2 linked regions of the Mus musculus genome follow. The protein of the gene in region 1 interacts with the protein of each later gene in a pairwise test. Links are inferred from orthologs where the notes say so. Each region holds a gene or a part of one and is shown on either strand. Other genes may lie near its edges.

What was found.
Region 2: the proteins of Pum2 (region 1) and Dazl interact in a two-hybrid assay, tested with the Homo sapiens proteins (2 studies listed by BioGRID and IntAct). The link is inferred for Mus musculus from reciprocal best matches to the Homo sapiens genes PUM2 and DAZL.

What each region holds. Positions count from the first base shown.
Region 1 is NC_000078.6:8,708,091-8,724,518, forward strand, and holds part of Pum2 (pumilio homolog 2), read left to right. Parts: intron 1-1,231; coding exon 1,232-1,419; intron 1,420-2,068; coding exon 2,069-2,235; intron 2,236-5,269; coding exon 5,270-5,540; intron 5,541-5,753; coding exon 5,754-5,847; intron 5,848-10,897; coding exon 10,898-11,023; intron 11,024-13,574; coding exon 13,575-13,717; intron 13,718-15,956; coding exon 15,957-16,089; intron 16,090-16,428. UniProt on the Homo sapiens protein: Sequence-specific RNA-binding protein that acts as a post-transcriptional repressor by binding the 3'-UTR of mRNA targets.
Region 2 is NC_000083.6:50,283,314-50,300,358, forward strand, and holds the start of Dazl (deleted in azoospermia-like), read right to left. Parts: upstream 10,308-17,045; 5' UTR 10,097-10,307; coding exon 10,094-10,096; intron 9,856-10,093; exon of another isoform or gene 9,841-9,855; coding exon of another isoform or gene 9,508-9,840; intron 5,926-9,507; coding exon 5,779-5,925; intron 5,393-5,778; coding exon 5,301-5,392; intron 4,850-5,300; coding exon 4,798-4,849; intron 4,506-4,797; coding exon 4,442-4,505; intron 4,355-4,441; coding exon 4,215-4,354; intron 3,010-4,214; coding exon 2,938-3,009; intron 1,734-2,937; coding exon 1,683-1,733; intron 1,039-1,682; coding exon 925-1,038; intron 1-924. UniProt on the Homo sapiens protein: RNA-binding protein, which is essential for gametogenesis in both males and females. Plays a central role during spermatogenesis.

The sequences.
Region 1 (16,428 bases):
GGTCATGATATTTCATCACAGCAATAGTAACTCTTAAGACACGTTGTCTTGTCCTGGGATTCCCCATTGAATCATTATACTATGATGGGTCACTATACACTAGTATTTAAACAGGGAGGGTGAATGATTACGGGAAGGGTAAAATGACAACTCTTTTATGGATACAAGTGGGAAACAGAAGGGTCTTAATAAGAACTAATGAAAGTACCATTTACTTGAAAATTATTATAGCAATGAAATAAGTGACTATACCCATGGTATTAAGGACTAAAACTAATTGAGATTGTTTCTGTTCACAAATGAGCCAGAGTTAACAGCCTTTTTAGTTTCTTTAAACAATTTTCAGCAATAAAAACTTGGAATACTGCCTCTAATTTGTGGATTGTATTAAAATTATGCTAGCTTTCAGATGTTGCATTTATGTTGGGTGCATAATTTTGTTCTAAAATAAAAGAAACTAGAAAGTATTTTAAAAGACTTTGATATTTGGGTTTCTCACTATGCACATAAAATTCTGAGATTTAATTGATTTTTTTTCCCCCCAAACTGATTGGTATTTAGTTAATAACAGTGCGTTCTAGGTTTGTGTGATGTATACCTGAGCTTGAGAACTGCACCTCTTGTTTTTTATTTGTTTAGTTTTTTTGTTTTGAATAGTTTTTATTCCTAAAGGTTTAAGACTTAGAAACAATTCAGCCTTCAGAGTCATTTTTCTGTGGCATTGATATATTTTGGCTTGACTCTTTTTTGCCTTTTTATCACTGAATTAAACTCATGTGAAGGTAGGAGAAGCAACTCCACAAAGTTGCCTTTTGTCTTTCTCTCTGTATTTTCAAGAAACATGCTCTTAGATCAGTGATGTGATTGAGCTGGTAAAAAATACTTGCCATAAAGCTTGACAATGTGAGTTCAATCCCCGGTGCCATGCCAATGTGAGAGGAGGGAGTGTCCACATGTGACCGTCCCCTGACTTACTCAAATGATAACCTGGTGCCATGCCAGTGTGAGAGGAGGGAGTGTCCACATGTAACTGCCCTCTGACTTATACATGATAAGAGATGTCCCAGCTATCCAGAATGAAAAGCAAGAGTATTATATAAGAATATTATATTATTATAGCAAGAATATAATAAAAGGGAATACTAGTTTTCCTGAAATTGATATGTTAATTTGTAAACTATATTTTTCTTGGCTTAAAAGTAAAACTGTATTATGTTTTTCTTCCAAACAGATCATTCAATGTCCCAGCCTATTATGGTGCAGAGAAGATCTGGACAGAGTTTTCATGGAAACAGTGAAGTAAATGCAATTCTTTCTCCACGCTCAGAAAGTGGAGGCCTTGGTGTGAGCATGGTAGAATATGTATTAAGTTCCTCTCCTGCTGATAAATTGGATTCTCGATTTAGGAAGGGAACTTTTGTAAGTATTTTAAATATAAATTTAATGTTTTCATTGTTTTGTGTGTGTGTTTAATGGTATTTTATTCTTTGAGTCCTTCCTTTTAACATAAGATCTTACTATATATTGCCTTGGTTAGCCTGGAAATCACTGTGCAGAGTCCAGGCTAGCTGAGTCAAGCCTGAGTCTCCTGTCGTGGCATTACAGATATGGGCCACTGCTTCTAGTTTAGCCATAGGACTGAAAGAAACTTTAAAGTATTTACAATTTGCTTTCTTTATTTAGTTCATAAAATTATAGAATAATCACAGGTACTTACGTTTTTATGACCGTGTTAACAAAAACCAAGTCATTTTAAAACTTTCTTTGCAAAGGTAATATTGCTTAGTCCTGATAGTACTTAATCTGTACCTAAGTCAAATTATGTAACAATAAACTACTTTAATTTGTGGTGTTACTGCTTTTCCTGTACCGCTATAGTTAAGGTTGACTTAGCCCTTCTGTTATAAATCCCTAGGTTTTTTGGCCTTTGCTAAATTAGTTCACTTAACAAGATTAAATTGTTGTTTTATTATTACATACACTACAGGGTAGTTTTAGACTACCTTTTGGTGCCTTTTTTTTTCTGTTCTATTAAGTATTGAGAATCAAACAGATTCTTTTTCCTCAGGGTACTAGAGATGCTGAAACAGATGGACCTGAGAAAGGAGATCAAAAAGGCAAGGCTTCTCCATTTGAGGAGGACCAAAACAGAGATCTTAAACAAGATGATGAGGACTCTAAAATAAATGGCAGAGGTTTGCCAAATGGAATGGATGCCGATTGCAAAGATTTTAAGTAAGATTTTTAACTTTTTCAAGAAGAAAAATATTTCTTTTAGGAGATATTCCAGTTAGTTGATGTGATTGATTTAGATGGTTTTTCCAATTTAGGGTTACTTGATTTCCTTTGTGCCTTGTGTTAATCTGGATGGATTTTTAAAAAATAGTTAATCATCATGAGTCATTGAAAAGTCTTCACAATCATATCTAAAACAGTGTGTTATGTTAGAAGATTAATGTTAGAAGCTGCTATTTTTGTCTTATGAACTAAATTAGAACTTTTTTTTTGTTGCTAATTAGTGACTTACAGGTTTAACATGATTTTTCCTCTCCCCTTGAGTTGTGCTTGCATATCTTGTAGTGGAATTTTTCTTTGTATTGCTATATTAACTACTTTTTCATCCCCTGCCATTTGGCTTTTTTCATCTTAGATATATGAAGCAAAATTAGTTTAGTAATCAGTGGTTTTCTTATACTATATGAATTGTGCTAAAACATAATTGCTTCTTCAAATATGAAATAGCTTTTTAAGCTTGAATTTCTTGAATACTTATTTTTAGTTGTCTCTAGCGATCAAATGTGTATTTGTTGTTTGGTTTGGTTTTCAGTCATTGGCTTTAGATTAAACACTGCACACTTACCTGTGTGCTAGAAAGCTGAGGCTTCAGGCTGCCGTGCAGTTCCTAGTTAGTTGTCGAGCTTCACCTCGTGATGGATAAAGGAAGGGTTACTTGGTGCTTTGTATGTTTCTGTATTTATTGCCTTCACCTAACAAAGAATAATAGTCTCTGTTAAAGAACCATTTTCATCTGTTCCTAGTGCAAAAAAGCATCCAAATCAGTAAACCTCTTTTGACAAGGAAAACAATATATTGTTCTTTATTTAGAATCCTTTCCTGATTTTTCTTTTCTGCTACTAAGTTTTAGTGAAAGTCAGGCATTTCAAACTTGGTTGATTTTTATATATTTATAATTGAAGTGTTAACACACCATTAACTATAGCAAGAAAATAGCACCACTGAAAACACAGTATGTTCTTTTGTTCTCTGCTTTTGCTGTATTGAGTTGTTTTATGTGAAAGTTTATTGCTCCCTTTTAAACATGACTATGAATATCTAATTTGTGGGTTTTGTTCCACTAGATTTTAAATATGTGTTTGAAATTACTAGTTAAATACAGTATCAGTTAGTACTTGTCATGTAAAAATGCTTAAGAAAAATTGCTGTGACCATATGATCTCTTTCAAGTTTATCATTAAAATTTGTTAGTAACACATGTCAGGAATATATACATTACTGGAATGAAGTGTAGGACTATTCCACCTTTTTTTAAGTTGGCTAAGAAGCTCTGTTTTGGTTTGTTTGTTTTTTCTTAAATGTTTCAAGTGAAAAAAACCACAAAAGGCAGGTATGCTATGGCTAAAGGAAAAACACATTTGAAATCCAATATGCAAAAACAGTGATTGACTTGGAAGTAGCATGAATGTTTTAAGTACTTAGTGGTTTTAATTAAGAATTACTTTGTCGTGGTGGCTCACGCCTTTAATCCCAGCACTCAGGAGGCAGAGGCAGGCAGATTTCTGCATTCCAGGCCAGCCTGGTCTACAAAGTGAGTTCCAGGACAGCCAGGGCTATACAGAGAAACCCTGTCTCGAAAAAACAAAAACAAACAAACAAATAAACAAACAAAAAAAGAATTACTTTGTAAACTGCTGTATGATAGCAAACTTATGCCAGTGTGGAACATCTTAAATTAGAGGCTGTTAAGTTTGATGAACAGCTGGTGTTCGACACAAGTAAAACACTCATTACTACTAAACTTAGGTACTTATATACTTTGAATGTGTTATGAATGCATAGTTTCTCAGAGCAATACACTTAAAGTAAGATTCCTATATAAAACATATATAAGAAAAGATAGACTATGTTAGGATTAAAAACAGTGTAAAAAGAATATTAGAGGGGCTCACTAGTTAAGAGTACTGGCTGCTCTTCCAGAGGTTGAGTTCAATTCCCAGCAACCACATGGTGGCTCACAACCAACCATCTATAATGAGATCTGGACCCCTTTTCTGGCCTGCAGGTATACATGCAGGCAGAATACTGCATCATCATCATCATCATCAGTAGTAGTAGTAGTAGTAGTAGTAGTAGTAGTAGTATGTCAGAAACATGAACAATGTTGATGAGAAGAGAAACCAATGCTGAAATTTTAATTCAGTATTAGTGAATTTCTTGTGAAAATTAGGGTAGTGTGGTGCAGCGGGGTTGGTATTTTGTTTATATAAAATTGTGTGTGTTCTGTATACTTTTTAAGTTTTCAAAATTTACTACATTTACCTTTAAAGAGAAACAACTTGGAACAGTAGAGATGATCTTTGGGTAGCTGTTTATTGTATAGGGCTTTCATAAAGGCTCGCTGTTTGGCTGCTACTCCCTTTCTTGCTTGCTCTTCTGTTCTTTTAGCTAAAACTACCCAGTCTTACATTTATTCTCATTAAGGAAGCAAGTGCAAAAGATAAAAGGGTTTGCACAGAAAAAAACCTTTGAAAGTCACAGTTGTGAGTCAGCTTTTGTTTTAGTTTAGATTTCTTTCACTCACGGAAACTTAACCATCATGTCTGGTTAGTTTTTTGATAAGTGGAATTTTGAGCTTTGCCATATTTGGGGTTTTTTTTTTTTTGCCATATTTGTTATTTAATAGTTGTTTTTTATTCTTAATTTTTGTCTATGGCTTTAGACAAAAGTTTCAAGTAGTATAGTTGTAAATTTTGACAAATTTTCTTACCTGTGTCTTTGTCTTATCTGTATGATTGAGTTATATGATTATGCTATTCAAATTGAGGAGAGTGATAAAATTAAAAATACTGAAACTGTTACCTTAAGTAGTTACGAAATAGGAAAAGATATGAGAAATGGAACATTTGATGACTCAGAAAGCCTTACTTATTCTTCATATTTTGGGACTTTTTTCCCCTTCATACTTAACTATTTTATTTACCCTTGGATTTGCTCCGTTTACTCATAGTGCTCTTCTGTTTTCTTTACTTAGTCGCACTCCTGGAAGTCGCCAAGCCTCTCCAACTGAAGTAGTTGAGCGCCTTGGCCCTAGTACTAATCCCCCAGAAGGATTGGGCCCTCTTCCTAATCCGACAGCGAATAAACCACTTGTTGAAGAATTTTCAAACCCTGAAACTCAGAATCTGGATGCAATGGACCAAGTTGGTCTGGATTCCTTACAGTTTGACTATCCTGGTAATCAGGTACCCATGGATTCTTCAGGAGCTACTGTAGGCCTTTTTGACTACAATTCCCAACAGCAGGTAAAGAGACTTCTGTAACACTATTATTAGTGAAATCTGAAGTGGTATGACTCACTAGGAATGATAAGGGTTTTGACACTTAATGCTTTATTGATTAAAATGTCATTATGGTTAAGAAAGTTCTTCAAATAAGTGTTTAAAATATTCATAGCTTTTTAATGAGAATTGCGATGTTTTGGTATTAATCTTTGTATTAAATATTTTCCTGGATAGCTCTTTCAGAGGACTAGTGCACTAACAGTTCAGCAGTTAACTGCAGCTCAGCAGCAGCAGTATGCATTAGCAGCAGCTCAGCAGCCACATATAGGTAAGTCTTTTCAATTAAGTTACACCTTTTCATTATTAGAAGAAAAAGCTGGTATTAATGTATTTAAACTTTCCTTTTATTTCTTAATGTCTTGTTTACATTTTGTTACTTTCTGAAACACCTCTGAGGTTAGTAGTAACAGATTACACACTAAAGATTATGATTAATGGAGGGAATCATTTTGATTATTTGCATCATTGGTTAAATCTGTCTGTAATTTGGGCCAGCAAGATGCTCCAGTGCGTTTGTCACAAAGCCTGATGACCCAAATTTGATCTTAAAATCCAGGATCTATGGGGAAGGAGAGTGCCAGCTCCACAGGTTATCATCTGACCTCCACATGTGCTCTGTGGCGTGAAAACACACTCACACATACATTTGAAAATTTATACTTGATAAATGTTGTTAGTTTTTAAGATTTTTTTTCTCAGTTGATAATTGGTAATCAAAGATCTAGAAATAAAATGTTATTATTTATATAATCTATTTTCCAGTCAGAACGCTCATTTTTAGATTTAATCTAAAACAAGAATACTAAAAAATTTTCTGTAAAATTAACTTTTTTGATATCTAGTTCTAACTAATGTGAATTAACTCAGCCATATAATTATTACTGATAAAATTCAAGTTTGGTACATGTTTTGTTGTCTATATTTAGTTATTTTTGTCTTTCTTGTTTTTCCTACCACTTGCACATCTTTACTGTTTAATAATATAGATGATAATAATATGCTAATAACTGTTTTGTTTTTCTTCTCAGCCCTCTGATTCTGACTCTTAATAGTAGATGTGGAGTGAAATAAGTTTAAATGTAATATATTTGGGGGCTTTTTAAAAGGTAATAATAGATTATAAAATTAAGTACAGGGAGTTCCTCATACCCTTCTGTCTAGTTTCTTCTAATTCTCCTTATATAATTGTAGTATATGAAAACTAGCAAGATGTTATTAATACAGAGCATATATAGTTTTGTATCATTTATCACTATATATCTAACTACCTGATTTTGGATAAACGTAATTTATTTTTTAGTTGCAAGTGTTTTGTGGTAGGATTTCTTTGTTATCTTTTCCTTTCTTTCTTTTTTTTTTTTTTTTTTTTTTTTTTCTTGGTGCGGGGACTGGGGGGCTGGGAATTGAACTTTGGGGTCTCTGGATCTCTCTCGCTGAACTGTTTCCAGCCCTCAAGTGCTCTTTAAGGACTAATTTGTTTGTTTTCCCTCAAATGTCTATTGTTCTGTATTAGTGCTGTTAAGGCTTCCTAGGAATTTTACTTGGGGCTTTTACAAAGATAAATGAAAATATACATATACCCATTGTCTTAGTCAGGGTTTCTATTCCTGCACAAACAAGTTGGGGAGGAAAGGGTTTATTCAGCTTACAATTCCATACTGCTGTTTATCACCAAGGAAGTCAGGACTGAAACTCAAGCAGATCAGGAAGCAGGAGCTGATGCAGAGGCCATGGAGGGATGTTCTTTACTGTCTTGCCTCCCCTGGCTTGCTCAGCCTGCTTTCTTATAGAACCCAAGACTGCCAGCCCAGAGATGGTTCCACCCACAAGGGGCCTTTCCCCCTTGATCACTAATTGAGAAAATGCCTTACAGTTGGATCTCATGGAGGCATTTCCTCAACTGAAGCTCCTTTCTCTGTGATAACTCCAGCTGTGTCAAGTTGACACAAAACTAGCCAGTACACCCATTATAATTGCAGCATCTACCTGGCCTCCTTCCTTCCTTTCTTCCTGGGCATCCTTTATCCGTGTATTTATTAATTTAACCTTTGTACTGTTAAAATGTATGAATTGCACCTGCTCATGAAATTGCTCATGAAATACACAGGTTTTATTACTTGGACCTTTATGGTATGTTTTAATATTTCACAGCTGTTAGTCTTTGCAATTTTGAAAGTTTTTGGAGTTGTTTTTGTTTTTGTGGTGGGAGGTATGAACTTCAAAATCACCTACTTCTAGAAGATCAGATTTTGGGTTTTAAAAATATACTTTGGAAAAATTAACATGGCATAAATTATCCTTATTAATGAATGCATAGAATAGTTCAAATCTAGTGTTGATAAGTGCTTAAAATTTGTTGTGGGTTGTAGTTCAATTGTTAAAGTGCTTGTATAGTACACAAGAAACCCTGAGTTGATTCCCTCAATTGCTTTCCTTTTAAAGTGTATTTTTATTTATATGTATTCAGTTAGTGTGATGATGTGCTTGTGGGTGTTCTTGGAAACCATAAAAGAGTATCAGATTCCCTGTAGTTGGAGAAGCACACTTAGGAGCTGATGAGGTGCTAGGAAGAGAACTTGGTAAGAGCAGCAAACATACTTCACTGGTGAGCTAATCTATATAGCCTGATCTAGAATTGGGCGGGGTTCCTGCCTCTGTGTGTCTGTGTGTGTGAGAGAGTTCATTTATTAGTTGGTACTTGTATCTTACAGGACTTAAACAATCTTGACAATTTGCAAATTTTAGAAACCTGAATAAATTCAAAATATTTATATTTTATGATAGCATAAAATATAAGCTATCAACTGACTCCATTTTAATCTTAATTTCGCATTTGTAAATATTTATTTTTTTCACCGTTGGTACTTTTTAATCAAGTTTTGCAGTCATCCTTGGCTAGCTTACAGCATACTTAGAACAGCATGATAGAAATAGAGTATATATTATGAACAACTTTAAATTAGTAACCATGCTTAAAACATGAACTAAGTAAAAGTGATCCAAATTATTTGTTTTAACCCATTGTATCATTTCAGAATATTGGTAAGAACCTTACTAATGAGAACTTTTACATCCTTATTCTGAAATGAGATAAGTGTTCATCTGATCTTGTTAAGCTTGTCACATGTTTACTGGAATTTATGTGGCTAGTAACTACCATCTTGTTCAGTATTGGTGTAAAGAGTCTTCCAAAGGGGGTTGGCCAAACATTTTCTGTAGAAGGGTAAACACAGCAAATAATTTAAGCTTTTCTGTCCATGTGATCTTAGCCAGTAACTCCTCTGTAGTAGCATGAACATTGTCGTAAATGATACATAATAAAGATAATTATTTTCTGTAAAAGCTATTTTACAAGTTGATACAAGCATCAACTAATAAATGAACTCTCACACATATACAGACACACACAGAGGCAGGCATGCACCCCCACCCCCATTCTACAATAGTTAGCATTTTTGCTTGGTTTGTTTTCAAGACTGTTTGTTTTTGTAGTCTTAGCTGTCCTAGAGCCAGCTCTGTAGACCAGGCTGGCCTCAAACTTAGAGATCTCTGCCTCTCTTTGCCTCACCATGCATCACAACTGCCCATCTGCGTTAAATTTTGCTTTGCATTTTAATTATTTTTTCAAGACATCTAAAAATAATGGAATAACTTTTTGCTTTTTTATTTGTTTTTACAAAAATAGGTAGCAATATAAACTTGGCTCATATAAAAAGGTTAGTAATAAGTATTAGATGCAACATATTCTTAAAAATAGACATTGTACACCAAGAGTGTGTAAGTCAAGTCAGAACGAAAGGTGGCTTGTTTAGAAAATGTCTGTAGTACAGGAAATCTGAAAATCAGTAGTGTTAAAGGCCTATAAAAAGCTAGGGATAAATGACCAGAGTCTAGAGAATTTCAGGTCAGCAAGGCTGCATAGTGAAACTTTTTTTGTGGAGGTGGGGATAAGTTTAAGATACCAGAGAGTATGTAGAGGACTTGAAAATGCAACATAATGTGAAAATCATTAAAAAGGCAATTCTTCAGACTGCATTACTGTATGGCTATTACCTAAGAGAAAATTGAGAAATCCTCTAGAACATTGAGATAGTCTGTAGTGACCAGGACATAACAGAGGAGAAGTTTGGAGCAGTAAAGGGAATATGAATATACATTGTATTTTTTAAAGAACAACACTTTCTATCTGGCTGCATACCAAATATCCTATACATCAGGTATTTACCGTACGAATCATAACAATAGCAAAATTATAGTTCTGAAGTAGCAATGAAAATAATTTTGTGGTTAGGGGTCACCACAACGTGAGGAGCTGTATTAAAGGGTCACAGCATAGTAAAGGTGAGTTTCAGGCTCTCTACAAGGCCAGTTGTGCTATTCATCACTTGAGCCGTCCTCAGCCCCAACTAGGGAGAAATCTTGACACTGTTGACCTGGAGTGGGGTTTAGAATACAGTCCTGAGCAAATGATGCTAAGTATAAGCGTAGTCTTGAATCCACATCTTAATTAATTTTTTACCCCCAAAAAACTGGTTTTGAAAAATGGCTATGTTGCTTGTGTCTGGGAATGAAATTGTGTGGGTTTCAGCCTATATCTTAGAAATCCTGTCTCAAAAAGGCAAGGAAAAAATAAACTCATCTTTATCATCATCATCTAAAGCTGGGTCTCTAACTCCTTTAATTTTAAATATATTCATTTTCATTATTTCTTTCCCTTTTCAATTTGTCTTGGTTACCTTCCAGAAGACACATTTGCAGCAGTGCATTTTCAGGAATGGTAATTGTCAGTGCCTAAAAATTTCTTCTCTTTTGATAAGAATACTGCAAAGAGCCAGGCTTGTGGCTACCAGCCAGGCTGTAGTGGTGCACGCCTCTAATCCCAGCACTTGAGAGGCAGAGGCAGGGGAGTTTCTGAGTTTGAGGCTAGCCTGCTCTACAGAGTGAGTTCCAGGACAGAGAAACCCTGTCTCAAAAAACAAAACAACAACAACAACAAAAAGAATACTGCAAAGACAGAATTTTCAATAGTTTTTGGCTTTTACCTAATCTGTGTGGGCTTATATTAAGCTCAGAAATCATAGAAGCTTTAAAAGTAACTCTCTTTAAACTCTTTCTTGTTTCTCTGTTGTTTTGAGGACAAAATCCAAACTACTTAGGATGACCAAAAGTTTAATAAAACAGCTGATGTTCTAAATGGGGTTATTCAGTAAAAATTTAAACCTTTATTGTATGGGGTCCCACCCCAGATTCAGAATTACAATGGTTGTGAAGAAATGCTTTACATTTTCGTTTATTATTTCTCACCCTTTTAAATATAGCTGGTGTATTCTCAGCAGGCCTTGCTCCAGCTGCATTTGTGCCAAATCCATATATTATTAGTGCTGCTCCTCCAGGGACTGACCCGTATACTGCAGCAGGATTGGCTGCAGCAGCAACATTAGCAGGTAACTTGTTTATTCTTTGTTGCTTGTTATGAACTTGGTTTTAATCTTGATATAAGGTTTTTTTTGGGGGGAGGGGTAATCTATGAGTAATTTGAAGTTCTTCTGAGAAACTAATATATTTTCCATAATAAACTGAAATTTGAAGAGAGTTCATTTTTCAATTACACTTACAGGGCAGCAACAATAACTCTTGTGTAGTTGGTTTATATTTCTAGTTTGTAGTTTAGAAATCCTACAGTGTGGAACCTACACCTTCATTTTAAATAACTGATCCTAATAATCAAAACAAAGCGACATTATTTTTTCAGAAATAATTTGGAGGTCGATGAAATTCTTGGAGAGAATGTATATCTAAAACATTTCTTAAGTATTACAAGCAAGCTGGGTGCAAACAGTATGGAAGGAATTTTATTGACAGGTGCTCTTCAAGCCAAATGTGTATTAATTGCTTATTTAAGTTAAGGGAAACTTGCGTGCTAGTCAGGTGCAGTCTTACTGACAGACTATTTTGATGGTCTTGTGTAAAGTCATTAGGGGTATTTGATTTAGGTTGAATTGGCTACAGATGCAGAAATAAATTCAGTCCTTAAGCATGGTTTGTATTGCTTGTAGAGGCAAGAATGTGTTACTGTCATTCCTAGGTTCACTTGCATGCCTCTGGTGGCATAACTTTGAAAATGTCACTACTACTTCTGACTTTTAAGAGATAATTGTCACCAGTTAGTATTTATGACTGTTGGATAGTCCATCTCTTTTTGGAGAATGACAGCTTCCAAACGTAAGACATACTTTTAAAGTGAGAGAAGAAAGCTAATTCTTCTTCTTCTTTTTTTTTTTTTTCTGTCTAAACTATTAAACTGAAAGAAACCTGTCAGTAGCTTTTGATGTAGAAGTTGTGCTACATAATTCCATGAGTATGTATAGTTTGCTGGTGCTGTTTAGCTAGATATTAATATGCTGATGTTAGTAGTCGTCTGTTTATGTGTGTGTGTGTTTGTGCATGCTCCTATATATGTGTGTGTATATACATTTATCCACAGGACTGAAAGAAGTATCTTCAAGAGGTTATTTAGTACATACAGTTAGTTAACTTAAGCCTTTTGTTAGCACCGTGACTGTTCAGCAGAAATGCAGTATAAGCCAGAAAATACAGTTTATTAGTTTTTTTAGTTAGCCATAATATAAAGTAATTCAGTAGTATATTTTATTTGACTTGATCCAGTATGTCTAAAGTACTGTAACACCTAATCAATATTTTTAAAATCTATATTTTGCATTGCTCTTCATGCTAAATCTTCAGAATCCTAGTATACTTGTGCAGAACTATTCCGGATTAGGCCTCTTGCTCAGCTTCCACACTAGTTTCTGGCTGTGTTGAATAGACAAAGGCTTTTGGTAGTTTGAGGGTTTTTTTTGTTTTGTTTTGTTTTGTTTTGTTTTTACACACTTTAATTTTCTATTGATTTGTTTGTTTTGCAATTTTTTATGTTCTGACAATCTTTATTATAGGTTGTGTTTAAATCATTATCTTTAGAAATATATTTGCCTTTAAGTTTATAAGTGCTTTTAATTTTAGCAATTTGATATTTATACTGGGCTCTGTTTTTCTCCTAAACTCTGTGACGTTGGGTTTTTAAACAAATTAATTGCCCTAATTTGATTTGACATTTTGTTGTATCTGTCAAAAATCAGGACATTTACTCAACTACTTTTTTGGTGGACTCATTAATCTATATAATCAAATATCTTAAGCAAAATAAAATAGAGCAAAACCAGTTGATTTTATTTCCCCTTAGTTTGCTTTCTTTATCACCCTTTTTGAATCATCTAATTCTCGACTAGACAACTTGTTCATTCCCCTGACCACTGATGTCTCACATCTGTTTTCATATAACTCAGTTGCATGTAAGGATGTTGATGTGCTGTTTCCAATAGGAAAAATGTCTTTAAAGGCTTAAAGTTCATACACTGTGAGCTGGTTCCCTAGTTTTCTTACAAAGTAATAGTTTAAAAAATTTAACATCAAAAAATTATTCTTACTGAATTAATGAGTTATTTTAAGTGTTACAGTTTTATGGTTTCTAATGTATTACCTTGTTATTTGTGTCTATAGTAGACCCACATGGGCAGTCAATACATGTGAGTGTGTAAGTGTCCTGTCAGTTTATTGGTAGCCTTGTGTTTTACTTGAATCTATTCAGTAAGGCCACTGCTGTCATGAGCACTCTTGTTCTGTCTTTGATAGCAGCAGTAAGCTGGGTATTGTAATGGTGCAAGTAATTGGGAATCTGCAGCAAGACATTATGAGTTTGAGACTAGTTGTTTACAAACTGAGACGATGTCTCAAATTTAACAAAAACAAACCCATACCTGACATGTCTTAAAAGAATTAGAAAAAGTGTGGTGTAATAGCAAGTGTGAGGAGAAACATTATAATAGATATGCTCAGCTCTAAGCCTTAGATTTGTCTCCTTTTATAGTTTAATGGTAACTGATCTTGTATATAAAATTTAGTGACTTTTTTTCTTTTGATGGGCCATATGGGGTTTAGGTCCAGCAGTGGTTCCACCTCAGTATTACGGTGTTCCATGGGGAGTGTATCCAGCCAATTTATTTCAGCAACAAGCTGCAGCTGCGGCAAGCAACACAGCCAACCAGCAAGCAGCATCACAAGCTCAGCCTGGACAGCAGCAGGTAGGCCTTTCTTTGTGAAATAATAAAGGAGTCTTTATTATTTAATTATATTATACAGTCCATTCCTCAGTACATAGCATGATAGTACTTAATATATAGTTGATATGCAACTACTTACTGACTTTTAATTTTCTGATCAGCATTTAAAGGTTTGGTGTGGTCTGGCAATAGTGGCACACACCTTTATTTAATCCTAGCATTTATCTGTTTGAGGCCAGCCTGTTCTATAGAGCTAATTCCAGACCCGCCAGGGCTACACAAGCAAACCCTGTCTGGGAAAAAACCAAAACCCTAAAACAATGCTTTGGTGTGTCCTGTTTTCATTATTTTACTTTCTTCAAAAGTCAAGTAATTTTAAGGCTTATTTTTTATTTATGTTCTTTTTTTAATCGTATGAGTATTCTGTCTGCATGTACACCTGTATACCATAAGGGGGCATTAGACCCCTTTATAGATGGCTTCAAGCCATCATGTGAGTGCTGGGAATTGAACTCAGGACTTCTGGAAAAGCAGCCAGCGCTCTTAACCGTTGAACTTTCTCACCATCCCCAAAAGCTTATTTTTATCGATCCTTCTTTTTTTTTTTTTAATTGATTCTTAAAAGTTGCTAATACACCTGATGTGGTGTTAAGTGTAATCCCCATCACTATGGGGAAACTGAGGCGAGCCCATCTTGAGTAATTAGGCCTTGTTTCAAGAAACATCAAAATAAACATTCTTGATGTCTATATCAAAGAGCTTGCTCCTTCATTTGTCTACAGATGTCTAAGTAGTTATACAAGTGTGCTGTTAATCACTAAAAGATGAGACATTTTCATTAAAGGGTGCTTTTAATTTCTCAAATAAAATATTAATTAGGTAGAGGTTTTTTCCACAGAGCTTTACTATAAAGCCACTCCCAGTGATCCTCCAGTCTGTGCCTTCAGAGACAATTTTTGAAAGGGCCTGAATTAAAATTATCTTGATAAATGTAAACACAATGTTGCTAAGTGAGAATTCTGGCTGCTGTGTTCATGGTATTTCTATAAAGCAAATTAAATACCTTGTTGCTTGCTTGTTAGGTAGTTTTTGTTAGGAATTTTCTATAATACTTTTGTTTTTATAAATGTATTATATGTAAGTACACTGTAGCTGTCTTCAGACACTCCAGAAGAGAATATCAGACCTCATTACGGATGGTTGTGAGCCACCATGTGGTTGCTGGGATTTGAACTCAGGACCTTTGGAAGAGCAGTTGGTGCTCTTTACCACTGAGCCAGCTCACCAGCCCCTCTATAATACTTTTAATGCCATATTGATGTTCTGTGGAAGGTATTGTTTAGCTCAGCCTTTGTATATCATATCATAACATCATTTAATAATTTATTTAACCCGTATCTTTTATCTTTTGTGTGTGCCCTACCAGGAAAGAGTTTGCTCTACCAGGAATTGCTTGAATACTTGTAAAATGTATTATTAATTTCATCATTTTTGTTTTTGTTTTGTTTTGTTTTTGTTTTTTGTTTTTTTGGAGTCAGGGTTTCTCTGTGTAGCCCTGGCTGTCCTGGAACTCACTTTGTAGACCAGGCTGGCCTCAAACTCAGAAATCCGCCTGCCTCTGCCTCCCAAGTGCTGGGATTAAAGGCGTGCACCGCCGCCGCCACCACCACCACGCCCTGCGCTTGTGTTTTATTATTTTAAGAGCTTTCTACCTTACTTTGAAGTTTGTTATTTTTCACACATAAGTTTTATGTTTTAACAAGTTCTAAAGCTAAATTTTCCTTGAGTTCCAAAATTTTTTTGTGTGTTTTGGTTTTTGGTGAGTTTTTTGTTTGTTGGTTTGGTTTTTGGCTTCACATCACAGTCTCATAAAGGTGAATTCCCTTAAACGTCTCATGTTTCAGTGTTCAGCCTTAGAAAATAATTTAAATAAATTTTAATAAATAACATTTTTAAATTAAGTAATTTAGCTCTTTAGCCATTTCACCTTTAGTTGGATCTTTTAAAAGGAGAGTATAAATATTAGAAATAAGTTACTCAAAGAGCTACACTCTCAGTGTTACTTTATAGAGTATTGTAGTTGTCAAGAACCAGGAGTGTTGTTTCTTTGTTTTTATGGTGGAAATTATTTATAACTTTTCATGTTAAATTTATATTTTACTTTCCAAAAAATATCCAAATTCTACTGTGATATGTATATAGTTGTCTAAGATGAATTTGTTGCTATATTCCTTTTAACTGAGTTATTTGTCCTTTCTAGGTTCTTCGTCCTGGAGCAGGTCAGCGTCCTATTACTCCAAGTCAGGGCCAACAAGGGCAGCAAGCAGAGTCACTTGCAGCAGCTGCAAACCCAACTTTGGCTTTTGGTCAGAGTCTTGCTGCAGGCATGCCAGGTATATAAGTAGTTTGATATAACTGTAGTTGGGGGTGGGGTGGGGGGTGATTTTGAGGGTGGGAAGGGGAAGCTCAAGAGATTTAAAATGTTAGGTGAAGAGTGACCAACTCAGAATCTTTGAAGCTTTGACTATTTATTAATATATTATTGCAAACTCAGAATCCATCTGGGTAGTGATGGTCCATGTCTTTGATCCCAGCACTTGGGGCGTGAAGGTGGTGAATTTCAGGCCAGCCTGGTCTTACGGGAGTTTAGGACAGTTGGGGCTATGCAAAGAAACCCTGTCTTAAACACAAACCCCTCAGATCCAGATACTAATCTTTGAAATCAATTTTTT
Region 2 (17,045 bases), on another chromosome or scaffold:
AAATTCTTTCATAATGTTGAACTCTTGTGATTTTTTTATTATTTCTCCTAAGAACACTGGTTTTTTAAAAAGCTGAATTTATTCTATTACAGAAGTCAGCTTTAATGTTTCAAAGAAAAAAAGTATTCAGAATGAAATGTTATAATTGTATAAGCTACTTTAATCTACATTCACACATTGTATGTATGTATGTATGTATTTATGTATGTATATGTGTGAAGCTGATTCGTTTTTTGGAAACAGACTTAAGTAACCCTGGGCTTGCCTCAAATTTGCTATGTAGCCAAGGCTGATTTTGAACTTATTTTTCTACCTCTCTAAAGTTGTACATCACTATACCACCTTATTTTTCAAATTTTAAGAATGTGGAACTGTGGATCAAATCAGGTGATATATTACCTTATTGTTCAGTAGTTTTGTTTTTTTTTTTGTTTTTCACTAACACAGATGAGAAATGTGTCCAATGAAATTTTCCATTATACACATTCCCAGCCTATCAACACCTTAATTCAACCATATGAATTAGAATTTGGAAGTGAGAATATGTTCAATACAAAATAATCATTTTTAAAAAGCCAGTGTTGTAGAATACCACAAATGATATGTATTACTATTTAGCTAAATAAAAACTATAAATTCACACTAATTGTAGAAACCTGGTCACTGGATTCTGCTAAATCATACTAAATGACAATACATAAGAAAAAACATAATCAAAAAAGAAGATAAGAGAAGGGAATCAAAACCACTCAAAGTTTGGAGTGTCATTATTTTGTACATTAATTGCAGAGTTAATAAGTTTCCTAAGCATTGCAGGTTGACTTTCATTTTTAAATTTGGGTAAACAGATCTACTTATCAAAGAACCATTAGTAATAAACATAAATAAAAATATAAAAATCAGTAAACAAAATTAGATGTTTGCCTTTTGCGGGCCATTTCCAGAAGCTGGAGCAGCATCATGAACTGAACATTCATTGGGCAAAATATCAGCTCCTGGATCAACTTCACTGCAGTGGTAGTTAACAGTTGTATAAGCCTATATTAAAATGATGAAAAAGTATAAGTAAAGAGAACCATACATTTTAAGTCATCTGTTTTTCAAAATGTTAAGCTATTTAAAAAACGATTTTAAACTGAAAGGCTAAAAGTAAGTCTTATTTTTAAATGTCCTCTGCCAACACTATCAGAATCAGGATTCTAAGAAAAGTATAATATACAGTAACAGAGTATGGGAGAATTTTCTTGATTGTTTTTAAAATATCCAATCTTCATGAAAGTTAACAAAAGCTTTGGTGTTTACAGTTAGTAGCTTCCTTTATTCCTTTTATAAAGTATTATTAATGGTAAAATTGTCTTGCTCCTATACATTTTCTCTAAATAGCACAGTTAGAGGCAGATTCTAGGAAGAACCAATGCTAATTCTGAATCTAATATTAAAACTACTTTTTGTGGATTATATATCATGCCAACAAGTAACCAAATACATGAAGCAGCCACTAAGCCTGGGCATACAAAAATAATGTGGAAAAAAAAGCAGTTTCTCTCTCATGTGTGTATGTAATCGAGGTAACAAGAAAGTAAAATATGTACTATAAAATGCAATTAAAATATAAATGTATACAATATGGCAAAGAAAACACTGTAAGTCTAATAAGAGTATGCTCAGCTAATTCATTTTACCGGAGGTATAACATAACTCCTCTGCTCTCCAGCAGGCCACTGCGGTGGCATCTTAAGAAAAGGAAACAAAGATTACTTAATCACACGTTTTCATGAAAGAGGCAATAAGACAATGTGAAAGTACTCGTGCTGACTCAATTTCTTTTAAAACAGAACTAAAGGTAGATACGTTTATGCTTCTGATATCTGTGTACTTCTCATTTCTTCTATATATAAACCTCACATTTTCTCAGAAGTTAGCATTTAGGAAAATAATAAGACAGTGGCTTTTGGAAATTATCACTAGCTATAGCCATGGGTCATAAATATGGTCACATCTATTGGAAGAAATTTATGGGACTACTATTTCACAGCATCCATCACAATTAAACACTATCAGACTCTGGATGCTCTTAAGAACTGGGTAATATTTTTATTTTAACCTACCCTATAAAAATTTATAAAAATCAGCCTGGATTTTTCAGGTATTTGAAAGCAGTGAAAGAATGCATGCTGAAATAATAACAAAAAATACTGAATCTTTGTAAACAGTCTGAACAAAACTTTTCTTTATCAAAATAATATTGATGCCTGAATTATAGATTACTTCTACTTTCCTTTTATTTTAAATCGATACTATGTGGCAATTTTATATAAATACAGACTATACTAATATCCCAAATTATTTTTCTTTCCCCTAAGTTATCTGATAATTAAAATCCCTCCCTTTAGGGCTCAGGGAACCCTGGGGAAGAAGAAGCAGATAGTGTGTAAGAATTGGAGGGGATGGAGGACACCAAGAAAACAAGTCCTTCTAAATCAACATGATCAGAGCTCACATGAATTCACAGGGATGGATGCAGCATACACGGGGCCTGCACAAACATGCACTAGGTTCTATGCATAGGCAGACATTATGGCTTCCAATTTAGTATTTTTATGAGATTTATGAGTTTGTGAATGAATCTCTAATTTTTGTACCTTCTCTTGGGCTTTTTTCCTTCCATTTGTTTTGTTTAATTCTGATGCATTAGTTTTTGTTTTGATTTTATTATCCCTTACATAGTAGTGTAAGCAAGCCCAATTAAGTGCTTTCTTTTATAAGAATTGCTGTGGCCATTGTGTTTCTTCACAGCAATAGAGCACTAAGACACCTTAGAAACCTGTTTATAAGGAGGTGAGAATGGGATGGAAGTGGGGGGTTGGGAGGACTACAAGAAGGGGAAACCATAATCAGGATGTGTGAGAAAAAAAATTTCAATAAAAGAAAAAATACCTGGTAGTTATAAACAGGCAGCTGATATCCAGTGATGACCTGAACTGGTGAACTTGGATAAGGAGGATATGCCTAAGAATAAAGTACACAGAAAAAAAGAATTATATATTTGAGAAAGTAAATCAATTCACAATAAAACAAAAATACGTATTTTTTCTTTTTATATATACACATATATAGTAGCAATACTTTAACTAGAAATATAGGTGCCAAATAAATGACTGGTTTTATAAAAAAGTATTTCTTGTCAAATGATAACCTATTAGGCAGGCAGGAAGAAAAGACAATGTTAATGTCTGCCTTTTTCCAAGCCAATAACTCCCTTAGGAGGTCATCGTACATTGATTATCTAGTTCTAGTAGTGGAGTTAAATTAGTGTATCTTGTTTCTTTATAAAAACACTTTTGCACAGTATTATTATTAACAGCAACATTAGCAGATAATCTCTAAAATTCCTCTGGTATTTATGATTTTCTTCTGTATTTAATTTCTAAAAGTTAAGGGGATTACAATCTGAAACTAGAAAAAAGGATAAATCAGTGTTTCCTATACTTGTATTTATTGAATAAAAGCAAGTAGGTCACATGCACACCTTGTATCAGTTAGGAATAAATAGGGATTTTCTTCTAAGTCATACTAACAGCCAGAAAAGTAAGATAAGATACTGTCTATATTCCACACATATAAATATATAAGATTTTACTAGTTTTCTTTTCTGGCAAAAGTCTCTCAAATTGAAAAAGTAAAATGTACCAATATGCATAGCAAGCATGAAAATTTAAGTGTCAACCAATTTCAGACAAATTATGATTTATATATTTTTTAAAAATACCCTATCAATTCTAGAACCGAAATAAACCCAGATGTCAACAACTTACATGAGGAAGCATTTGGAAAGCACTGCAAGTACAACATAGATTAAGTGATGGGCTTTGGGAAGGCATCAACTAAGAGAACTTACAAAACTGTTTTCTAATACTTAAAAACATTTTCAAATTTAAAAACTTTTTTACAAAAAAGAAAAATAGTCCTTCTCTATTTTTTTATGTATCTTAATGTGGCTACCAAGGTTCTAGGATAATGGCTTATAAACTACAGAGAAGTGATTTCAGCTTAGCATAAACAGCGCTAAGAATGACAGTAATAACAAAATCCTAATACTTGAAGTATTCCAATAAAGAATGGAGTGTGTTATCACTTAACATCCCAACTGTGCATAAATTTCAGAGCTTAAAAAGACTATTGAATATAAGAATAAAAATACAGGCAGCTTTTACCTGAACATACTGAGTGATAGGATTCATCATGGTTGGAGGCTGCATGTAAGTCTCAGCATTTGGACTACTCCAAACACTCTGGAACTGTGGTGGAGGAGGAGGATTAAAAATCAAAGGACGTGGCTGCACATGATAAGTACCTTTAAAAAAGTACAAAGAACAAAAGTTACATTGCGTTCTCTGAAAACCTAGGCAGATTCATCAAGAAAACTTCTGGTTTTACTCACATAAATTTTGTTTCCTGATTGCAGGGCCCAGTTTCAGCTTTTTACCATGGAAATTTATCTGTGACTAAAAATAACACACGATAATTTTAATCTTTCATTTCCAAGAGTTTGGCAAACACTATTGTGCTCAGCCTTACTTTAACCAAAGTGTCACAATGCATCAAATCCCTTTTCTAATCTGATAAAGCTAGAGGCCTCCAAGCAAGCATGTTCTGACAAGTTACATAAAATTACAGTTTGATCTTAAACAGAAAGGAAGCCTATTTTCTCTGTATTTTATGTAAGATTGAATATCCAGGACTTACTCAACACGAAAGCATTGCTAAAGAAGAGTTTTACCAAAGACTGTTACTTACTTCTACTATCTTCTGCACATCCACGTCATTATAAAATGAGACAAATCCATAGCTAGAAAAACAAATGAAATATAAAATCATAACCATAGTAAATCCTATATTAACAGAAAATGATAATGAAAGATCAATATATTGTGATAAAAATACTGAAACACAGAGAACAGATCCTCTATAATACCACTGCTGTTTTCTTAGTAATGTCAGAATGTAGTAATATTAACATTCATTAAAAAATGTTTATTACTTAAGGCAAGACAGCTACAATTTAAGATAGTGTGGAATGTGCCAAGAAATAACTATTTAATAATCCATTTGTGCAAAATAGAAAATACTGAAATACAAGTACTAGCAAAAGAACTTATTTTAAAAAAAAATTCCTTTGTCCATAAATTATTAAAGGCAACAATTTCAGTAGTTTGCATGCTCATTTTAAGTCTTGTCTGGCATCTCTCTGGCATACTTAGTTCTATAAACAGTAGCTTACATCACCTATGTTTACATACCCCTTCGACACACCAGTTCGATCAGTGATTATCTTCACTTCTTTTACTGAGCCATATCTGGCAAAGAAACTCCTGATTTCGGTTTCATCCATCTATGGAAAAGAATTAAATTTCAAGAGTAAAAATTAAGCATTCAAAACTTCCAATTGTAAAAAAGATATTTGATTATGTTAAAGTCAATCCCTAGTATTTGCAAACTATTCCATTTTGCTGAGTGTATTTTTAATTTCTATGTATTAAAACCAAACCTGCATAAAATTTGGAGCAGAAAATCCTTTTAGGTCTACACATCAGCTCCCAATGTCCATAACACTTTAAATATTTAAATTTATTGAGCTAGTTCTCAACTATGTTGCCCAAGCTCCTCTTGAAACTCCTGGGCTCAAGCACTCCTCCCACCTCTTCCCACCCCAACACCAACATGAAATTGTGGCTTCAGAATTTCATTTAAAGTTTGAATGAAATATGAATACAATACCCTAACATCAATTCCTCCAACAAAAACGGTGTTTGGCATGATTTTGCCTTCTGGCAAAACATATCCTTGACTTGTGGTTGCTGATGAAGACTGAGTGCTGGCCTCCCTGGAGACAGCTGAATTTGGAGCCTCAGAAGTTGTGGCAGACTGAAATTTGGAGAATAGACAATTTAAAATATATATATGCACACACATGTATATATAAACATGACAAATTATGTAAAACACTTCGTTTGTATTTCACCTAAATTAGCTAGCAATAGTGTAGTTTAGCTTCAGGACTTAAAGCAATTAGAGAACTGGCATAGAAATTAAAAAGGTAGTACTTTCAGAAATATCCTTCTTACTGTTACCTCTGAAACTGAAAGCAAACCCCACTATGGTTATGGTATCTTTTCACAGCAACAGAACACTAAGACAACACATTTTTAAAACATGTGTAAGTTTTTTGTCTGCTTGTATGTATGTGCACCATGTGTGTGCTAGTGCCTACAGAAGCCAGAGGGAGCTGGATCTCCTGGAACTGAAATTACAACTGTGAACTATCATAAGGGTCCTCTATAAGAGTAGCAAAAGTGCTGTTAACAACTGATTCATCTCTCTGCCCCATTCATGTCACCTTTTACACTATATTGTGAAAAAATGCCAACTTTACAGTTTATGAAAAGATTTTATTTGATGAACTTGGTGAAAAGTTCTGATCTGTGAAGACTAAAACCATTGTGGAACTACTACTAAATTTCCATTTTACTGAGTGTCTTAAATCAAAAGCATAGTAAGAACCCAAAGTAAACAACACAGCTGTTCAATACCCCAAACAAAAAAAAGTATTAAACTCTTACATTTTTCCTTGCCTTTCTATTATTAAATTAATATAAATTCTATAACCTTAACATGCCCATGTTAATGTGATTAGTCAATCACATTTAGAAGTAAATGAATTATGAGAAATTACTGACACATCAGTTTCCTATTCCCTAATACTATTGTGTTTAAAGCATGTTCTGAAATAGCTTTTTGTTTCTTGACTAACACCATACAAGCTCCACTGGCAATTCATACAGTAGATTCTTAATTGATTAACATGATTTTCCTAAAGAAGAACTTATTGGAAATAAGTGTGTGTACAGAAGAGGCAATATAACAAAGCACAAAAAAATGAACTTAAATCAAAATACCTAGATTTATGTCTGTAAGTTATAAGCAGCATGTTTGCCAGAGTGCATCTCTGGCAGATTACTTTGAGAATGACTAAAACTGGCGAACTCGTTTTATAAAGTAGTATGCTATTAAGAGTTAAGTATCCTGTATTTAAATTTATTTTCAATGGAGTTAAAAAAGTTTTTCCCTCCAAATTTTACTATCTTGGCTGACTTTATTAACTGGATGGAATTTTAGTAAACTATTATTATGTCATACCCACTGAAAAATCCACTTATGAAACTGACAATGAATACTGAACACTAAGGGAAAGCTAGTATATGTAACTTGTTTACATGTATGTATACATTGTCAAGAAGCTAAAAATGTCAATTTGTTTTTAAAAGATTAACTTCATACAAATTTTAGAAATGAAAAACTGTCCAATACTTTACTTTTTTGACCTTTTTTGCTTTTATCTGCTTAAGTCCTTATTTGCTATTTTATATTCCTACTTGAGAACTACCTTATTTCTTTAAACAGTAAATCCCCTTTGTGATATTTCATGACAATGAAATGGCAGGCAGCAAAATTATTAAATTTTTCCTTCTTTTACTATGTTACGATTTAAGTTTAATCCTAAATGCAATACTACATATGCTATGCATCTTGGACTATTTAGAACCTGACTAGATTTGATTTACTAATAGAAAATCTACCCATCTCTACTCAATTTCTTATTCAAAAATAAACTCAAAACATAAAACAATAGTTCTGTAATTTTTTTAGGACTCCATTTCTCAATTTACTCTTCTTGTATTGATGACCTTAGGATATATTTTTATTCGATAATCCTTTTTACTGATGTCTGTACCACAATACATGGATGCATTTCAACTTAGAAGTGTAATATTTTACCAGTTAACCAGAATATAAGTTATAATGCACTGACTCTCAGTACTGCAGGGGTACTTATGTCTAGGAACATTTCTGGATGTCAACAGTGAGGTAAATTTCTGGCATCTGGTAGGAAGCCAGGGATATTTCCATAACAAATGATTCCCAAACAATGTGTTACTAGGACCATAACCTGTATAGGGATGTGATGAAAAATCCTGTTATGGTACTTCTAGAACTGAAGAGGAAAATAACTGTTGGGAAGAATTTGCTTTCCATTGTTCAAGATCTTGATTTCCTGCCTTAAAAATTAAGGAAAAAAAAAATCTCAAATGTCTTCTAATTGTATTCTTTATAAAAAAGTAAAATGGACGTTTGAGAAAAGTTTAATAAGGAGGAAAATAAAGCATTAAATATTATAGGATGCTTGATTTGGGCTTAAACTACCTGCTTCATCAGAGTAAATATTAAATCGGTCTCAAAATAATAGTGTATTATGTATTAAAGAAGGCACACCATATCCTAGTCCTTATCCAGTAGGTGGCACTCAAAACCAAGAAAGCAAAGAATCCATTTTAATAAGACCTAATTCCTACTGTATGCTTAATAAGTAAAACACCCACAACTGATAGATGCTTTAGTTACTTTTTAAATATGACCAAAACCACTCTACAACCAAATACTTGTAAGTCAGGTTGATGTTTAAGAAAGTATAATTTTATACTTAAGAGATAGGATCTTATTATGTAACTCTGGCTGTCCTGAAAACTTGCTATGTAGACCAGGCTGGCTTCAAACTCATGCCTCTACTTCTTGAGTACAATTATTTATTTTAAATGACGTCTTATGTTGCCAGAGTTGACCTGAACTTCTAAAGGGCTCCATATGGCCCCCTGCTGTCCCCAATAATTGTAAATTTCCACACACCTAAATGCCCACTACTGACCCTGGTGGGAAAGTATCTTACTCATCAATGGACTATAATAGCATACTGAAAACAAACTGTATTAAATTTAAGACATATTTAATTATACCTCTGAATTAGCTATGAGAAATATTAGAATACCAGCAATGAGCCAGCACACAAAAATTTGCCTATTTTGTACAGTACCATACTTCATTGTATTGGAAAATCCACATATCAAATATAGCTAGAAGCTGAGAATAGTTATTAAAGATTTCAGGATTCACATTTTTGAAATGTAATTAAATCACTATGCTAAGCAAATTCCCATGTATGCTACAAATACTGGCCAATAGATAAAAATCTGCAGTTATCAAATGTTTAACCCTAATGTAGTGAGAAAACGGTCCAATATTGTGCGATTTAAATTATTGTGATAGACAAGTACCTATTTCACATTATAAATGCTTAATTTGAATTCCAACTTAAGTTAACATCGGTCATAAGTAGTATAAATTTCTTCCTTTACCTCTAAAATGGAAAAAAATTTTAAACGAACATGCAACATCTAACGGATTTGTGATTAAATGGCTATCAACGTTTGTTTTCAGTAGCCCAAGCTAGCCTGGCAACGCCTCAGTCAGTCTGCTGGCGGCGGCAGCGGCGATTACAGCAGAGCTGTCCGGTCCCGCTTTCCCCGACCCCCGCCCGGCTCAGGCCTCTGGCTCCTCCCCCAGCCCACGCAAGCCAAGCTCCCGCAAAGCCGCCTCCACCCCACCCACAGTCACCAGGCGACAGGGCCCGCCCTCAGCCTCCCGATAACCACGCCCTCCGGGTCCTTTCCACGCCGCGGCCAAGCCGCCAGGCCGCAGGACCCGGCGCGGCCAGCCTAGGCGCCACCTGGCGGAGGCGCCCGCGCTGCGGCGCTCCGACCCGGAAGCCCGGGCGCTCGTGCGGAGGAGCTGGGCCGCGGGGTGGGGGCTGGGCCGCGGCAGGCCTCGCCTAAGGCCTGCTCCTACGGGCACCGCGGCCCAAAGGCGGGAAAGAGCCGTCACGTGACGCCCAGGCCGTGCACGTGGCCCACCCCGGGGCTGCCCGAGGTCCCCAGGGCTGCCCGCCATCTCCCCGCAACCCCTCAGTGCTGGTGTAGGCCGCAAAGGCAGCAAGGCCGCCACTCTTGTCCTCCAGGCCTCACCCTGGGGGCTGTCCGGTGGGGGAGGAACCCAGAACCGGAAATATGAAAGGACCCTCTTTATGCCCTCTCCCCACTTCTCTGTGCTACACCAGAAAAGGCCGATTTTTAAACCTCCGCGTAAGGAATCGCGGCCTCCGGCTGGTCTTGCACTGCCACCCCGGGGCCTGCCCTCGACTCACCATGATGGCGGCCAGAGTTCGGGTGGTAAAACCTCGAAGGTGGAGCAGAAGCCACGCGACGGGGCAGCTACGTGAGGTGGCTGCCTAGCCGGCCAACGGGCAAAAAAAAGCCGAGGCGGTGGTGGAAAGAGAGCCCACGGCCACGGAGACAGCGGAGTCCCGAAGCGAGCGTGCTGAGGGTCGCCGAGTCACTGAGGCGTGGGCTGCGCGCCCCGGGGGGATGACTGTGCGTGGCTGGCCTCGTGACGTGCTACAGCCAATAGGCGGCAGCGCTAGGGCCTCGCAAGGGGGGCCAGGGGACCCACGTCGCCCACGGAGTGCGTGAGGGGTGCGCATGGAGCATGCGCGACATCTACGTAAGGGTCTCGGCTGCCGAGCAGGCCCGAGCCTCACTGACAGACAGATGGACCGACTCCTGCCACTCCCTAGCCCCCCCAGGACCGTGTCCGAAGCCCCTGTGAAATAAGTCCTGGGCAGGACGGTGCTCAGAGTTCTGTCAGGAAAGCATTTATTCAAGTCATTACCTCAAAAATGGCACCTCGAAGGCATGGCGTTATCCCGTCAGCAAAGCTTGGCGGCCGAATTTAAAATTTACAAAATGCCCGCAGAAATAGAAATTAATAACGGGCGGCACGACTAGAGAGCAGGCCTTGCCTGGCCGGGCCCCTTCACCCTCTTTTTCAGCCACATTGAGAAGGTTGAGTCCGGGTGCATGTGGAAGGCGCACCTCATGCCTCACGGGCCGGCCCGTCAGCCATCAGGACTTAGTTTTTTTCTTCCGTTTTTTTTCTCCCCCCCCCCCGCCCCTTCAAATAAATGCCCGAATTATCCGGTACAAAGGACACAGCAGTGACCAGACCACACGAGAGAATATCCCTCCCTTCGTGGAATTTAGGTTGCAGTGTGAGCGTTTCTCTTGTAGGCTTTACAGAAACAAGCTAGGCCAGCTGAGAGAATTCTAGAACATTCTCAAGGCCAGAGAAACGGGGCCTACCTACCTACAGCAGAGCCGAGCTGTAGGGTGCTTGGTGGAGATAACCTTACGGCAGAACCACCTAGTACTTATACCGTCCTGACTACCTTTTGTACAGATGATAAGTATTACAGCTTTTTTTTTTTTTAAAGCTGGCAAAACAGCTTAAGATTGCCACTAACCATGCAGCAATGATGGAGAAAATAGTATTAAAATAATAAATAAAAATAAAACAAATAAGGGTAGATTGCACCTATTTGAAAGGGGGGAAATTCCAAAATTCTGAAACTAAAATTAAGCTCGAAACTACAGCGGTGAAGATCCGATTCTCCACTGGCCTTCGGTAGGTGGCTACATGGTGGTGTGAACAGTCTAACAAAGGGCCTGGACTGTCCTCATTTTAGTGTAGAGAAGAAAAAAACCCACTACAGACAGCTGGAATGGTTGGTTAATGAGCAGCGGAGAGATGGCTCTAAACTCTGTAGCTCCAGGCCTTCCTGCGTTGGCTGGATGGGGAAAGCTGAAGCGGTGCAGCCCGATTTGGAGCTGAGCACCTTGCAGCACACCGGTGTTCTGGCAAGGCATCATCCTGAGGAAAAGCACGGACGTGAGGGGACGGGGAGCACCGTGCAGACTAGAGCAAACCCAAAACCATCTAACTCTCATTGGTGTTTGACCTTCCATTCCTGCGCTCTCCAAGTTTGGCGTTTATAGTTATGACATGTTTGTTACTGGAATCTCGAAAGGAAGAGCCAGGTTTTCCCAGTTCACTATCCCCTTCCCTGCAAAAGATTCTTAGGCAAGGCGTTTAAACGCTTGAAAAACGAAACAAAGGCCAATCTGCAGAGACAATAGGGGTCCTCTCAGAAAAGGACTTTTCAAAGAAAATCCTCCTGGAAGTGGGGTCTAGAGACAGCAGTCTCCTAATCCCAGCTGCTTAGGAGGAGAGGCTGAGGCAAAGGAAACTAAAAGTTCAAGGCTGCCCTGACAGTTTAATGACACTGTCTCAACATAAAAAGAAGAGAGGACTGTGCAGAGGGTGCCACACAGGGCAGAGCGCCTGCCTAGCATGTGTGGGAAGGATGTCCTGGCTTTAATTCCCCGCACACTCTCTCTGTCTCTGTCTCTCTGTCTCTTTGTCTCTCTGTCTCTCTGTCTATCTGTCTCTCTCTCTCTCTCTAACACACACACACACACATTCCAAAAGATTATAAAGCATTTACGGTGAATAGGAATGGCCTGTTTGGATTGTATGAACATTTTATTTTTCTGACTCTTGTCTTTGGTCTTTCAAGACAGGCTTGCTCTGTGTAGTCCTGGAATTCTCTCTGTAGACCAGGCTGGCCTCGAACTTACAGAGACCCACTTGCCTCTGCCTGAGGGCCCAGCACTCTCCGCTCTTTTACTGCTTTAATCGGGGCTGGAGAGATGGCTCAGCAGTTAAGAGCACTGACTGCTCTTCCGAAGGTTCTGAGTTCAAATCCCAGCAACCACATGGTGGCTTACAACCATCCTTAATGACATCTGACTCCCTCTCCTGGTGTGTCTGAAGACAGCTACAGTGTACTTACATATAAAATAAATAATAAATAAAGTCTTAAAAAAAACCATACACTTTAAATAGAAAGCTAATAAATATGTTCCCTCTTAAATAATTCAAAGGCCTCAGGATGATTTTATTAGTAAACTCCCCTCCCAGTTTAAACTGGCTGGTTTTCAGGTTCCTTCTGTTAGCCTCCTGTAAGTCAGCCGTTGTGGCCACACAGAGAAACATTGTGATCCCCATTTTACCTCCTGCTCTCCTGGCTCCCTCCCAGTTTAGTTCTCTTATTCCATTTCCCCTTTATCTCTCCATCACAATACACCATATTCCCCCTTTCCTGCACGATCACATTCTCCACCATGGACTTACTAAGTACTTAACCTGTGTGGTTATCTGGATTGTAGGAAACTTATCAAAAAATTCGTAAAGCATATAAAAGCTAATATCTATATATAAGAGAAAATATGTGATTTTTTTTTTGAAGTCTGGGTTGCCTCACACGGGATAAGTTTTATAGTTCCTTCGATTTACCTGCAAACTTCGTTTTTCTTAATAGGCGAATTAATAGTGCTTCATAGACGTTTGTGTTTCCTCTTTTGAGAATACTCTGATTAATTCTAGATCTCATTTTTTAGTTGAGTTTTGTTTCTTCGTGTTTAGGTAGTTCCGTTCTTTATACATTCTAGATATTAACCTATGTTGTAGGCTGCTGATTTGCCTAAAGGATGCTGCCCTTTGCTGTAAGCAGGTTCTCACCTTAATGAAGTCTCATTAATTTTTGGTCTTCATGACTGTGGTATCAGTGTTCTATTCAGAAAGTTCCTTTCCTGTGCCAAAGAATCAAGCTTATTTTCCCCACTGAAAAAGTTTTACTCACTGTGCACGAGGGCTTTTTAGCAGTGAGATGGTCATATAGATAGAGCTCCCTCTTCTTAGTCCCCTTTTAAAAGTGTATATAAGCGGGGCTTGGTGGTGCACACCTTTAATCCCAGCACTGGAGGCAGAGGCAGGTGGATTTCTGAGTTCAAGGCCAGCCTGGTCTACACAGTGAGTTCCAGGACAGCCAGGACCACACAGAGAAACCCTGTCTCGAAAAACCAAAAAATAAAAGTATATATAAATTAAAATTTTAAAACACATGTTAATTGTCCCAAATAAACATTCAGGATCCATCTCTCTTTGTTTAACTTACATGTCTACATATTTTAATTATATTATTGTGTGTGTGTGTGTGTGTGTGTGTGTGTGTATGTACACACATGCTCAAGTGCTCCCACTTAACCATTATTTTGTTTCTTAAAATTTTGAGCACTTATAAGTCTACTTGGTGCTAAGTATATGGTATGCAAACTATAATCACATGTAGTCAGACAGACTATACAATAAGATACATTTAAAAATTTTGAATGTTGTTATTTGTTGAGATTATGTTTTCTATAATTTTCATAGTGAAAAGGAAATATAACAGGGTTCTCTAGAGATATATTGCTAGATCTAGATTGTACTGGCTGGTTTTGTGTGTCAACTTGACATAGGCTGGAGTTATCACAGAGAAAGGAGCTTCAGTTGGGGAAATGCCTCCACGAGATCCAGCTGTAAGGCATTTTCTCATTAGTGATCAAGTGGGGAGGTTCCCTTGTGGGTGGGACCATCTCTGGGCTGGTAGTCTTGGTTCTATAAGAGAGCAGGCTGAGTAAGCCAGGGGAAGCAAGCCAGTAAGTAACATCCCTCCATGGCCTCTGCATCAGCTCCTGCTTCCTGACCTGCTTGAGTTCCAGTCCTGACTTCCTTTGGTGATGAACAGAAGTGTGGAAGTGTAAGCTGAATAAACCCTTTCCTCCCCAACTTGCTTCTCGGTTGTAATGTTTTGTGCAGGAATGGAAACCCTGACAAAGCCATAGATCATGCAGAAACAAAATCAGATACATGGGAGGGGCACTCAGGCATATTGAAGACAGGGGAGGGGCTCTATCTTGGAGTAAAATGAGCCTGGAGAAACTAGGTAGAAATAGCAGGTGTTCATACCTGGTAGAGCCTGCTGTAGTAGACCCTCACTGTGGCAGCTTGTCTTGCAATTTGGCAGTTTAACCTGTGAGTCACAAACCATTAGCCAGGCAGTGAGTAGTGGTGCACAGCTTTAATCCCAGCACTGGGGAGGCAGAGGCAGGCAGTTCGAGGCCAGTCTGGTCTACAGAGTGAGTTCCAGGACACCCAGGGCTACACAGAGAAACCCTGTCTCGGGGAAAGACAAACAAACAAACAAACAAAAAACCCACAAACCATTAAAATGAGAAAACCCACCTTGGTTATTGTCTGATGTTACTTCCTTAGTCTAATCTAAAAGAGATGCCGTCATACCCTGTGGGATCAGTGAGATTGGAAGTTTTATGGATGTCTCCATTTTTGCTATATTCAGGACATAAGTCCCTGTGGGGTTCACATATCTCACAGATTAAATGTGGACTATTATACCCTTTCCTTTAAAAAGGGATACTTTCTTTGGGTTAGCGTGGACATGGGAGACTGTACCTACGGCCTTGACAGGAAGGCCCAAGATAGCAAAACAAGAAATGGAGGAAGGAACTCCATGGTCTTAGATCAAGGAAAAGAAGGAGTTCATATGCTGCTGTTAGCGTTGCCAGACTCCCAGTGTGAGATCTCTCCCAGGGCTGCAGGAGAAATAAGAGAAAGGGGAAAGGAAATGAGGTGCTTTTAAAAACTCAAAGGTTTGTCCCCAGGTTGAGAGGACCTTTCAGAATTTCAGTAAGCAATGTTACCAGCACAGCTGGAGGAGCCAATGGTGCTGCTCCCTGACACAGAGTCAGGGGCTAGCTTTTACCTTTGTGTCCTTTTTATGGTATTGGTTTTCCTAAAGACATCCCTGTATGATGAGATAAGTAACAATAGCTTAAGCTGGATCTAGCTCACTGATTAACTATCTTTCAGGGCACAGCACCTTTACCTCTTGGGGTGTTTCATTCTCTTTCTTGTCACAGTCAGGAGGCCAGCCTGTCCCAAGACCAGTTACTGTGACACAGGCATGCTTGGGTCTGAAATGGGAGGGCCAAACCGCATCTCCCGGATGGCCGCTCAGTGAACTCCAACAGCACAGGGCCGTTTGCCAAAGTCACTTAGTACTTAGGAGTCCTCTGCTCCTGATGCCGTTGCTTTTACCTTAGCAGCTCCTGTTCGGTGCCATAGCAGATGGCATTTTATTGTGCCACACCTGGAATGATTAAAGAACATCAGTAACCATATGAACCAGAACCGATTTTTTTTTTTTTTTTTTTGTTCTGGGCAGGATTAAGCCAGGGAGGGAGGTCTCAGACCTCAGTTGCCCATTATGTGTCAAAGAGAGGTAAGAGTCATCAGTGTGTCTACGGGGAATGGTTAGGCAGAGTGTGGGGACAGTTGAATAGGGTGCAGGCTCACTAGCAGACTAATAGCACAGAGAGCTTAGGAGTGGGGTTGGAAGTTTGAGCTGTTATGCAGAGGTGAAGGAACAAAGCGAAGGTCAGGAGTGGAGATGAAAGGAGATGTGAGGTGGGAATCTCAGCACTTGCTAGTTCGTCTGATGAAGTCCTTTAAGCCAGTGAGGATTTAGAAACGGAAAATATTCAGTTCAGGTCAGGTATGGCTGTTGCCTAAGTGATACTGGGGCCAGATCTGAACCGAGAGCTACATAAGAATTAGGGGGTGCTGAAACTGGATAGACCTAAAAATTTGAAGTTTGATTTCAGGTACACCAAAGGGTGTTCTTGGGCATAGACAATTTAGAACCCATCTCAGAAGGTCAATGAAAAAGGAAGAGTACAGTCATTTTCCAAGTTGTCACCTGGGTTCAGGCAGCAACTGGAGGAACAAGCATGAATTGCAGAAGATGGTGTCCCTGGCCTGTGGACATCAGGTTCAAATAGCCAAGGAAGCCCTGGAGTTCTGGAGAAGGCCTTGGTCTGGGGGCCCTCCTGACACTGGCCAAGGCTTACCTTACCAATATGTAGTAGTAGGTATGCTCTAGTAAACAAACAGCCAAGAGCCTTTGTTCTGGATAGATGGAGAGACTGGAGAACAGATTATACAAAGAACCCAAGCCCCATGTATGTGGCATGTCAATAACACCCCAGAATGGGGCTTGCACCACTTATGTAGTCAAAGGCCCCCAAGGCCCGGAGGTTTCAAGTTGCAACAGGCACCTGTTCAGTTTAAAGTAAGCCGAGTAAACCACATGCTCAGTGGGCGGGTATCAGGAAAGGTAGGGAGATGGAGAAGGAGAGAGGGAAATGGCCACTAGGGGAGTGAGACACAGGAGCCCTAAACCCCTCTTGGGTTTTCAATACCAAATGTTAGGTGGAGACAGAAGGAGGCAACATGAAAGTACAACGAAGGGCCCACCTCAACGGAAGCAGGTCGTCATTCATCAGAACAGGAAATGGTCT